Mus musculus: one gene and its partner. Each later gene encodes a partner of the first gene's protein in a complex. Links are inferred from orthologs where the notes say so. Each region holds a gene or a part of one and is shown on either strand. Other genes may lie near its edges.

What was found.
Region 2: Lsm6 (region 1) and Lsm7 share a complex: the UniProt entries of both Homo sapiens proteins name them as parts of the precatalytic spliceosome. The link is inferred for Mus musculus from reciprocal best matches to the Homo sapiens genes LSM6 and LSM7.

What each region holds. Positions count from the first base shown.
Region 1 is NC_000074.6:78,807,443-78,811,465, reverse strand, and holds part of Lsm6 (U6 snRNA-associated Sm-like protein LSm6), read left to right. Parts: intron 1-1,405; coding exon 1,406-1,519; intron 1,520-3,220; coding exon 3,221-3,255; 3' UTR 3,256-4,023. UniProt on the Homo sapiens protein: Plays a role in pre-mRNA splicing as component of the U4/U6-U5 tri-snRNP complex that is involved in spliceosome assembly, and as component of the precatalytic spliceosome (spliceosome B complex).
Region 2 is NC_000076.6:80,851,931-80,856,767, reverse strand, and holds Lsm7 (U6 snRNA-associated Sm-like protein LSm7), read left to right. Parts: upstream 1-1,558; 5' UTR 1,559-1,581; coding exon 1,582-1,587; intron 1,588-1,611; exon of another isoform or gene 1,612-1,707; coding exon of another isoform or gene 1,708-1,743; intron 1,744-2,056; coding exon of another isoform or gene 2,057-2,059; coding exon 2,060-2,150; intron 2,151-2,938; coding exon 2,939-3,010; intron 3,011-3,667; coding exon 3,668-3,810; 3' UTR 3,811-3,943; downstream 3,944-4,837. Other genes in the region: Sppl2b (signal peptide peptidase-like 2B), read right to left, coding at 1,380-1,427. UniProt on the Homo sapiens protein: Plays a role in pre-mRNA splicing as component of the U4/U6-U5 tri-snRNP complex that is involved in spliceosome assembly, and as component of the precatalytic spliceosome (spliceosome B complex).

The sequences.
Region 1 (4,023 bases):
ATAGAGGGGGAAATCACTTTGTTTTTGTCTTAGTTTTTTGACGTAAATAGCCTGTTGCCAATATTTTGTGTATGTTTGGTTACTTGCTTTTGAGTCAGGGTCGTCCTATGATAGCCAGCTATCTTCAAGCCCTTTTTCTTTCTGCTTGTTCCCTCCCAGTCTCAACTCACAAACAGTGAATAATAGTGATGTTACATTTTGAATGACCCTGTTGTCTAATTCCATATCATGCAGTGCAAGTTTCCTACTCGTCTCTGAATATGCTTTCAGTGTAGCATAGCAGAGAAGAAGCAAACTGGGAGACTGTCTTAAGCTTTCTTTGGCTAGGAAGTTATTGTTCTTGATAGTTGACAGTCCAGTCTGATTCTTTGAAAGTTTATCCCTTCTCATAGAATTCTGTTCGGTTAATGTCTTGTGCTCAGATTACACACACAGAGATTTGAAAAGAAACCTCTGTCTAGAGGATAATGGGGGCAGAGCAGAGAGCCAGGAGCATATTAATGAAGTTAAGATCTTAAATGGGACTATTGACTTAGTTAATTGAATTGAATCTGTGGTGTGTTTTTATTCTCTTTTAAAATATCAGTTTTGCTTAGAGATGAGAATTAGAAGCTTACTAGCTTCATCTTTTGAAAAAAATCTTCTGGTCAGATTTTAGAAATTTATGCCATCTTAACACGAGTAAAAATCCACCCGAGCTGTTTTCCTTGAAAGCTCCCTGGCATGTTTGTAGCCGTTTTTCTCTATTAGTTTTGATTTTAAAAATAGTCCAACTCTGACAAAACAGAATGCAGTGTGTTGTAATGCAATATGTTGCTCTCTGTTCCCAAGCTGCTCCTCGCTGAGAGCCACAGCTCTGAGATGGTCTCTCAGGAGCACCTGCTGTCTATTATCTTAACAGATTGTGGAGACTTCCTCTTCACCCTGGGTCCATTCATCTGCTGCAGTAGATGTTGTGAAAGACTGAGACAAACTGCCAGATCCCTATTTCACCGAGCGAGCGAGTGGCTGAAGTAACAAATGTCACCTCGATGGAGGCTCATTTGTCCCTGCATAGTTGCCATGTCTGTCCCGGGCTCCCATAGAAGGGCATTTTGGTTGGAATATTCTAATGCTTATACTTTTGTGAAGGCTTTCAAAGTTGCTGTGGTGAGCACACGTCCCAGGAGGGAGTGACAGTTGGCTGCCTGTCTTGTGGTGGATGCACAGCTCCTCTCATGCTCTGCCCGCCCAGCCTTCATTCACAGGGGCACCGAGGAAAGGCAGGCGCCTTTTGTGTTTAAGTCTATTGAGTTTTGTTTACAGTGTGAATTTTTATATTATGTGTCTGAAGGCTAATGAATAAAGTGATTGTCAGTTCTAAGATATAGCCTGTAATTTTGAATTCTGTCTTACTTTTCTCCAGGGGTCCTGGCCTGCCTGGATGGCTACATGAATATAGCCCTGGAACAGACAGAGGAGTATGTAAATGGACAGCTGAAGAATAAGTACGGAGATGCGTTCATCCGAGGAAACAATGGTAAGAGCTTCCCTTCCATTGAGTGTTCAGAATAGGCCGTTCCTGCGTGTAATAGGGAGCTGCGGGGCGTCTAAGTGTTAAGGTTCTCTTTACTTTTGCTTGTTTGTTGTACTTATATTTTAGGTCTTTAGTATAAACCAGGTCTGTTTGTGAGTGGGAAGAGGATTTTCCATGGAGGTTGGAACTAGAAATTCTCTTTCTCAGTTGCTGAGGGGTATTGGTATACTAAGCAGGCCCATTAGACCAGGGACCCAGAGGGTGTGCGGCACACAACCACATACTGTACTCTCGCAGTGCTGTCTGGGAGTGGAAGCCATCCTGTGCCACAAAACGCCCTTGACATTTAGCCTGTCCTTTGTCCTTTTTCTGTTCAAGATTTAGGTGCCTTTTGTGGAGCTTTGTACCTTTCCGTGTGTCAGAAGTAGGACAGAAGGCGTGGCTCTCAAGTTCTCTTCTTAAAAGCCTTAAAAGTTAGGTCTCGTTAGGAATTAAATATCCTGACTTTTGTAGACATACCTTGCTTGCAGTTCAGTAGAATTTCTTCTATTTCATGTTATTCTTACTTGCCCTCCTCCTTTTGCTTGGAAATATTATGCTCTTAAGTAGCCCCCATAGCAGGAGCCATTCCTACACTGACATCCACCTAGCCTGTCTGGTTTCCCAGGCAGTGGCTTTCCTCCTATTCTGATGGCTCCTACACTTTACTGCCATCCTCAGTAACAGGTGTCATTATTCCTACTACTTGTAGTTGGGTCTTAAAGAGGATCCTAGTTCACTTGATTGAAGTCTGTGCTGGACTCTTTGAGGAAACATCTACTGTTCACTTTGAACAAGCTTGTTCGTATCTGAAGATGTGTGGGATGGGAGAGGGAGGGTACACCTTAGGTGACAGCCTGACCAGAGCCCCTTTTGTCCTATCTCTGTGCAGCACACATTCCACTGTGCTAAGAATGACTGGCGAAAATACATGTTGGATGACACCAAAGGTTTATACTAATCTCAGAATAAGGACTTTGCTTTCTTAAAAATGTTTTCTCATTTTTTTCCTCCTATGGAAATTATCAGAGTAAACCAATTTACAGAGTAAACTGGGGAGATAAACGAAAATAATGCCATTTCTTTCTTTTACATTTTTTTCATGTGTATGAGTGTTTGTCTGCATGTCTGTAAGTACATCATATGCGTGCCTGGTAGTTGAGGAGGCCACACAAGGTCACTGGACTCCCTGGAACTAGATTTACAGTTGGTTGTGAACTGCTTTGTAGGAATTGGGGACCCAGCCCTGTTGCTCCGTAACATCTGCAAGTTACATCTGCTCTTAAGTGATGGGCGTCGTCTCTCCAGACACATGTGCTAGTCATTCTGAATGTGACACCTAACCTAACAGATCTGGCTGATTCGCCCTTTTCAAAACTTGTGATATAGCTATTTACAAATCATTCTTACATTTTAGGCACTTTCACTTTTCTAATTCCCAGTCATAATTTGTAAAGTCAGTAACATGCATAGATAAGACTAGTTATAATCAGGTAAGATGTCCAAGCCCGGTCTAGACGCAAAGCTTGTTTTATAGAGACCTTCATTGCATGGTAGAAACAGTCTTTTAAAGTGTTCGAGGTGTAGGCCAGGACCCATGAATGCCTTTAAAACTGAACCGATGCTGTGCCCCTCGAGTGACTGCTCGTTCTCTTGTCTTTCCAGTGCTGTACATAAGTACACAGAAGAGGCGGATGTGAAGACACCAGGAGGCAGTGCTCTTCAGAGATGGATAGATGAAGTGGTTTTGGTTCTCTTACCATCTTAGTTGGCCTGTTTTCATGGTGGCTGGTGGGGGTTTGTTTGTTTGTTTGTTTAATTGACATTGGAATAAGATAGAGGTATTGCATTACAGATCGACTCTTAAGTTTTTCACATTTATGTCTCAGTCTTTATCATTTCTGCCTGTACAGAATGCTAAAACTAAAACAGTTTGTTTCTCCAGGATTATTTTACCTAAGATTCCTGCCCTGTCATTCCATTGGTTGATTACGTATTCAGCTGACTAAGTGGTACATCCCGGAACCTGTGATCAAGCATTCTGGAGGCATCCTTTGTCTCTTTCTCTACTCACCATCCGTACCATTTAAAGCAGGTAGATAGAAAGTCATATGGTTTCAGCCTTGGGCTATAAAGGGACAAGAGGTCAGAAAATCAGCTGTTTATTTAGTCACCTAGTTAGTGGTGGTATCTCCACAAAGGAGTGCAACTGTAGAGTCAGGAATTGGAAAGGTCAGCCACGTGAGGTGAGACACTGCCTGGAAGCCTCCTGTGCAGTTAGACTCTTCATGTTAACTTGCTCCCTGTTGAGAGTGTTGGTGCAATGGCTGGTTACGCCAGCCAGGGGAGGAGCTCTACTGTTCCTGAGAAACTGGCTGTGGCTGAGGTGGTGCAAGCCCAGAGTGCTTAGACTCAGTTTCCAGGCACTGAGCTTCGGCTGCGAAAGTTTCTCCTGCTTTTTGCTTTAG
Region 2 (4,837 bases), on another chromosome or scaffold:
ACTGTCACTGTCCCTGAAAGCCCTCCATCAGACTAGCAAAAAAAGAGACCCACAAAAAAAGACATGGACTGGCCCCAGGGCAGGTCCAGCCAGGAGAGATGGCATAGCCAGGGGAGTTCCTCCATCAAAAGAGAAAAGAAAAAAAAAAAGACAAGGAGAAACCAGAATAGCCTTGGTGGACGGCACCTGCACAAAGAGGGCAGTTTCCAGAGGACAGTGGCCTGCTAAATATGATGTAGAGCCCTGGCCCACTGGCCAGATGCAGCAAGCCCTGACACACTTTCAAAAGCTCATGCTCAGCCAAGAACAGGATGTGGGGATAAAAGCAGCCAAAGAGAGATGTTGGCCACATGGTGGAGAGCCCAGGAACCACATGTGTGAGGAATGCCTTAAAGCTTAGCCAATCAAGGAGGCACATGCCAGCCAGTTGTGGCAGCACCGGGGAGGCTGAGGCAGAGCTGCAAGCCCACCGCCAGCCTGGGCCATACAGGGAGACCCTGTCACAAAAGTCTGTAATCTCAAAAAGGAAAAGAAAAAGTATTTTTAAAAATGACCTGGGCTCTTGTTTCACAAGACAAGAGCGTACACAGTAGCAGGACGCACTGGCCACCCTTCAAACCGGCCCAAGACCCAAGGATGCAACACTCCAGGATCTGGGACTGAAGGCTGGAGCCACAAAGACAAAACAAGAAAGGACTCTACTAAGCCAGGAGTTGCGATGCGGCGCGTGAGATAACTAGGCCGGTGTTTTGCTTTGAGTTCCAGGTTAGCCAAGCCTCACCGGGTGCACAGGGACAGCCAGGGCAACATGGGAAGTCAGAGCCCAGCCTGGACTGCAGAGCGAGCTGGAGGCCAGCCTGAGCTGCGGAGCAAGTTGGAGGGCAGCCTGGACTGCAGAGTGAGTGTGAAGCCAACATGGGTTACATAGTGAGTTCAAGGCTAGCCTGGACTACGCCGAGTTCGAGACCAGCATGCCACCTCTCTCAGAAAGCAAAGCACACCAGAAGCCAGCCTCCTGCCAGGGCGCACCCCGCGCACACCTGAGGCGTCCCAGCAGAAGCTCGTCCCCAGCGTTCTGCACCGACCCTGAGGTGGGGACCCCCTTCCGCCCAAGGTCACAGAACAGAAGCCGGGGTGCCGGGCTGCATGCACCTCGGGGGCCGCGCTGGACGCCCCGGGGATGGAGCGCGGGAACTCGCCCCATTCTGCAAAAGGGGAAACTGAGGCTGGCAGGAACAGCGGCGGCGGCGGTTGGGGCCCCGGGGCGCAGGGCGGGCTAAGCCCCGCCAGAAGTCTGCGGTGGCAATGAGCGAGTGGACCGCAAGGTCAAGGGCACGGTCAGGAGTTGGGGGGCCGGGCCGATCGGCCGTGGCGCTCACCTGGGCCGCGAGTAGCAGCAAAGCTGCGGCCAGCCGCGCCGCGGCCATGTCCGCCGGTCCCCCCGCAGCTCTAGGCGGAAGGTTTCCTGGCAACGCCTTCGGGACGCCGCAACGTGCTTGCGCCGAGGCTGCGCGTGCGCAAAGGCCTCCGCGTTAGAAAAGGGCGGGGCGGCGCCTGCGCAGAGCGACGTGAGGCGACAAGATGGCGGTGAGCATGTCTAGATCGTGGAAAGCAGGGCCGCGGGATCGAGGGTCTGTGGAAGCGAGAGCAGAAAGACTGAAAGGAGAGTGACGGACGCCCTAGAGTAGGGAGACAGGGTGCTGAAGGATGGGAGCCACGTGGGACTGCAGACGGAAGCCATGGGTACAGACCAGGTGACATGAAAAACAGACGACCGACATGAGGATGCAGACGCGGAACGTGGGGGTTGCAGACCAGGCAGACAGGGGTGCGTACAGGAAACAGTGCAGATGGGGTATCCAGGGATGCAGATGAGGACGTGGGCATGCAGACAGAAATGCAGACTCGGGCATAGCATTCAATTAGGCAGACACTGGAGGTGAGGATGCACCCAGGGTTCTGGGAGCCTGAGTTGGAAAGGAGTCCCTGGGTGCCATGCCCAGGCTACAGGGATATGGGGAGGCTGGACCTCTCTCCTCAGCGCCCCACCTCCCAGCAGGACAAAGAGAAAAAGAAGAAAGAAAGCATCTTGGACCTCTCCAAGTACATCGATAAGACCATTCGGGTGAAGTTCCAGGGTGGCCGGGAAGGTGAGTGCCTACCGCAGGGCTCCCTGACACAGAGCTTGGCTGAGGTCACAGCAAGCAAGGGAAGCCACCTAGTACAGGCGTTCCAATAATGGCTTGGGCTATTGTGTACCATTGAAAGGTATGCCCCTATTGTGGGTGGGGAAACAGAGCCCCAGGAAAGGAGTCAAGTGAGATTAGCACCCAGACCAGTATGGATGGATCCTGAAGGAAGGGGCCAGGACCCACGAGGAGGTGGAAGGAGGTGATAGGAAGCCCTGTTCTTAAGCACCTGGACACAGCAGGAACCTGGAAGGTTTCCCAATGAAAGGATTGAAAGTTCCAGGCCAGTTTAAGTTATGTAGCAAGATCTGTCTCCAAGAATCAACCATGGGTGGGGCTGTATGTCTGTGGGTAGATTGCTGGTTTAGCATGCATAAAGCCCTGAGTTCTATTCCCAACCCCGTGTAAACCTGGCGTGGTTGTATAAGCCTGGCATTCCAACACTAGGGGTAAGACAGGAGGATCAGGCTGCCTAGTGAGTCTGAGACCAGCTTGGGCACATGAGACCCTGGGGGGGGGGGGGGAGACTGTTTCAGATTGCATGGATGGGTGACAATAAAGTTTTATGGACACTATATAGCACCTTCCATACTGGAAAGAAGAGGGTTGGAGTCACAGTGACTAGGCCACCACACTTACTTACTCATGAGTTCTGTGGTGGCAACTGTTCCTGAGCTGCCATACCAGGTTCTATATGTGTTACGGGGTGGACTGACATTCTTCTCCATGTCTCGCCCGTGTTCCTCAAGCCAGCGGTATCCTGAAGGGCTTTGACCCACTGCTCAACCTGGTGCTGGATGGGACCATGGAGTACATGAGAGGTGAGCCGGCCGAGGTTGTTGTAGGACGGTGCTGGGGACCTGTGGGGTCAGATTACAGCAGGTGGTGACTTAGGGTGCAGTGTTGGAACACCAGAGGACTGGTGTGCTTGCCGGGAGGGCCTCAGGCTTGAGACTTCCAGCTCACTCTCCTCAGGTAGCTGGCTTTATCCTCAGCCCTCAGGACAGCAGGAATGGTGGCCGCTGTCCTCGGCCAGGAATGTCTACCTGCATCAGAGACTCCAAGGCTCACTGGATCTCAGCTCTGTATAAGCAGGTCCACCCTGTAGTGCCCTGAGCAGACCCCTGCCCCCCACACCAGGTTTCCTGTCTCCAGCCCTCGTGACAGTTATGTCTGACTGCTTACCAGCTCCTCCTGTTGCCCACCCTCTCCAGTGCATCTGCTGCTCAGTAGATGCCCTTGGTGTTTACGGGGTCAGCATGGGCTCTAGCGTTCTTGAAGTTGGAGATGTCTGGCTCCTCCCTCAGCCACCTTCGTGGTTCTGTGGTTTAGACTCTGCTGGTCAGGTGTTTTGAGAGCATCTGGATCTGTCAGTCCCCAGAAGCTGTGAGTGAGAACTCTCAGGCCCCTGAGGTCCCGGCTGTGGCATGCCTATGGATAGATATGCACCTCAGTCCTCTTGCCTCTCATCCTACCAGACCCTGATGACCAGTACAAGCTGACGGAGGACACTCGGCAGCTGGGGCTTGTCGTATGTCGTGGCACCTCGGTGGTGCTCATCTGCCCACAGGACGGCATGGAGGCCATCCCCAACCCCTTCGTGCAGCAGCAGGACACTTAGCAGCAAAGGAGAGCGGTCCAGCCCCAGGGATCTTCCTTCTATGGGGTGAACTTCTGTGTGATGTTTTGGTCTTTTGTTCTTGTTTTGTTTTGTTTTGTTTTTTAATAAAATTGCCCATGTGAGCATCTCCCTCCCTTCCTGCTCTGTAACTTTGATCTTTGGAGAAGCCAGAGCCATGGAGACACCTTGATCAGACACCGTGGTCCAGGGCAGAGCACAGCACAGCCAGGGACTAGCACAGGGATGGGAGAAACCTGGACGCCTGGTCCCGCAGCCCAGCCGGCTTCACCTGGTGGGCTGTGGCAAGAAGACCACACCTAGAAACACCAGAACCTGGTCTTCCTCCATATGGCATCCCCTTAGCACTGGCCCCTGCCTGTTCTCTCTGCCCAGGGGAACCAGGAGGGCCTGAGAAAAGGATTGGCTAGCAGGGAGCCTGGGCCCTGAGGTTCCTCAGGCTGGGGTGCCTCCCTAAAGCGTCTGCCACAAGAGAAGCAGCCCAGGCAGGGGCTGGGGCGGGGCCAGGGCGGGACTCTGTGCTCCTGTGGAACAGCTGGGAATTAGGAAAAGACCTGTGTCCCTTGTAGTCTGGCCGTGCAACCTCTGGCACATGGAGCACGGGACCCCACGGCCACAACCCTCTGACAATCAGCCCATTTTTAAGTTGGGGAACCTAGCAGGGAGCATGATTCCCTGAAGTTGTGACCCAAGGCCAGAGTCAGGCTCCCTGCTCCTCAGTAGAGGCAAGATGTGCAGCTAGCCAGCTCTGCCTAGCACTCCCAGAAGCCAAGCCTCCCCTCAGCTCCCCTAAGTTAGCAAGGCTTGCCCATGACCCTTCTCAAAACGGCCACCTTCCCTGCAGGTAACAAACTGTGGGAGATAAAGCCTGTGCCCCCACTTCCTCACGCTGTATAACTTAGGGGAAGTGTCCCACCCTTGCTAAACTACAGTCTTGGAGTGTGGACACCCCAGCCCTGCCACAGAGCAGTGATGTCACAGGCCCTGAAGGCTCAGAGCTCAGACACTG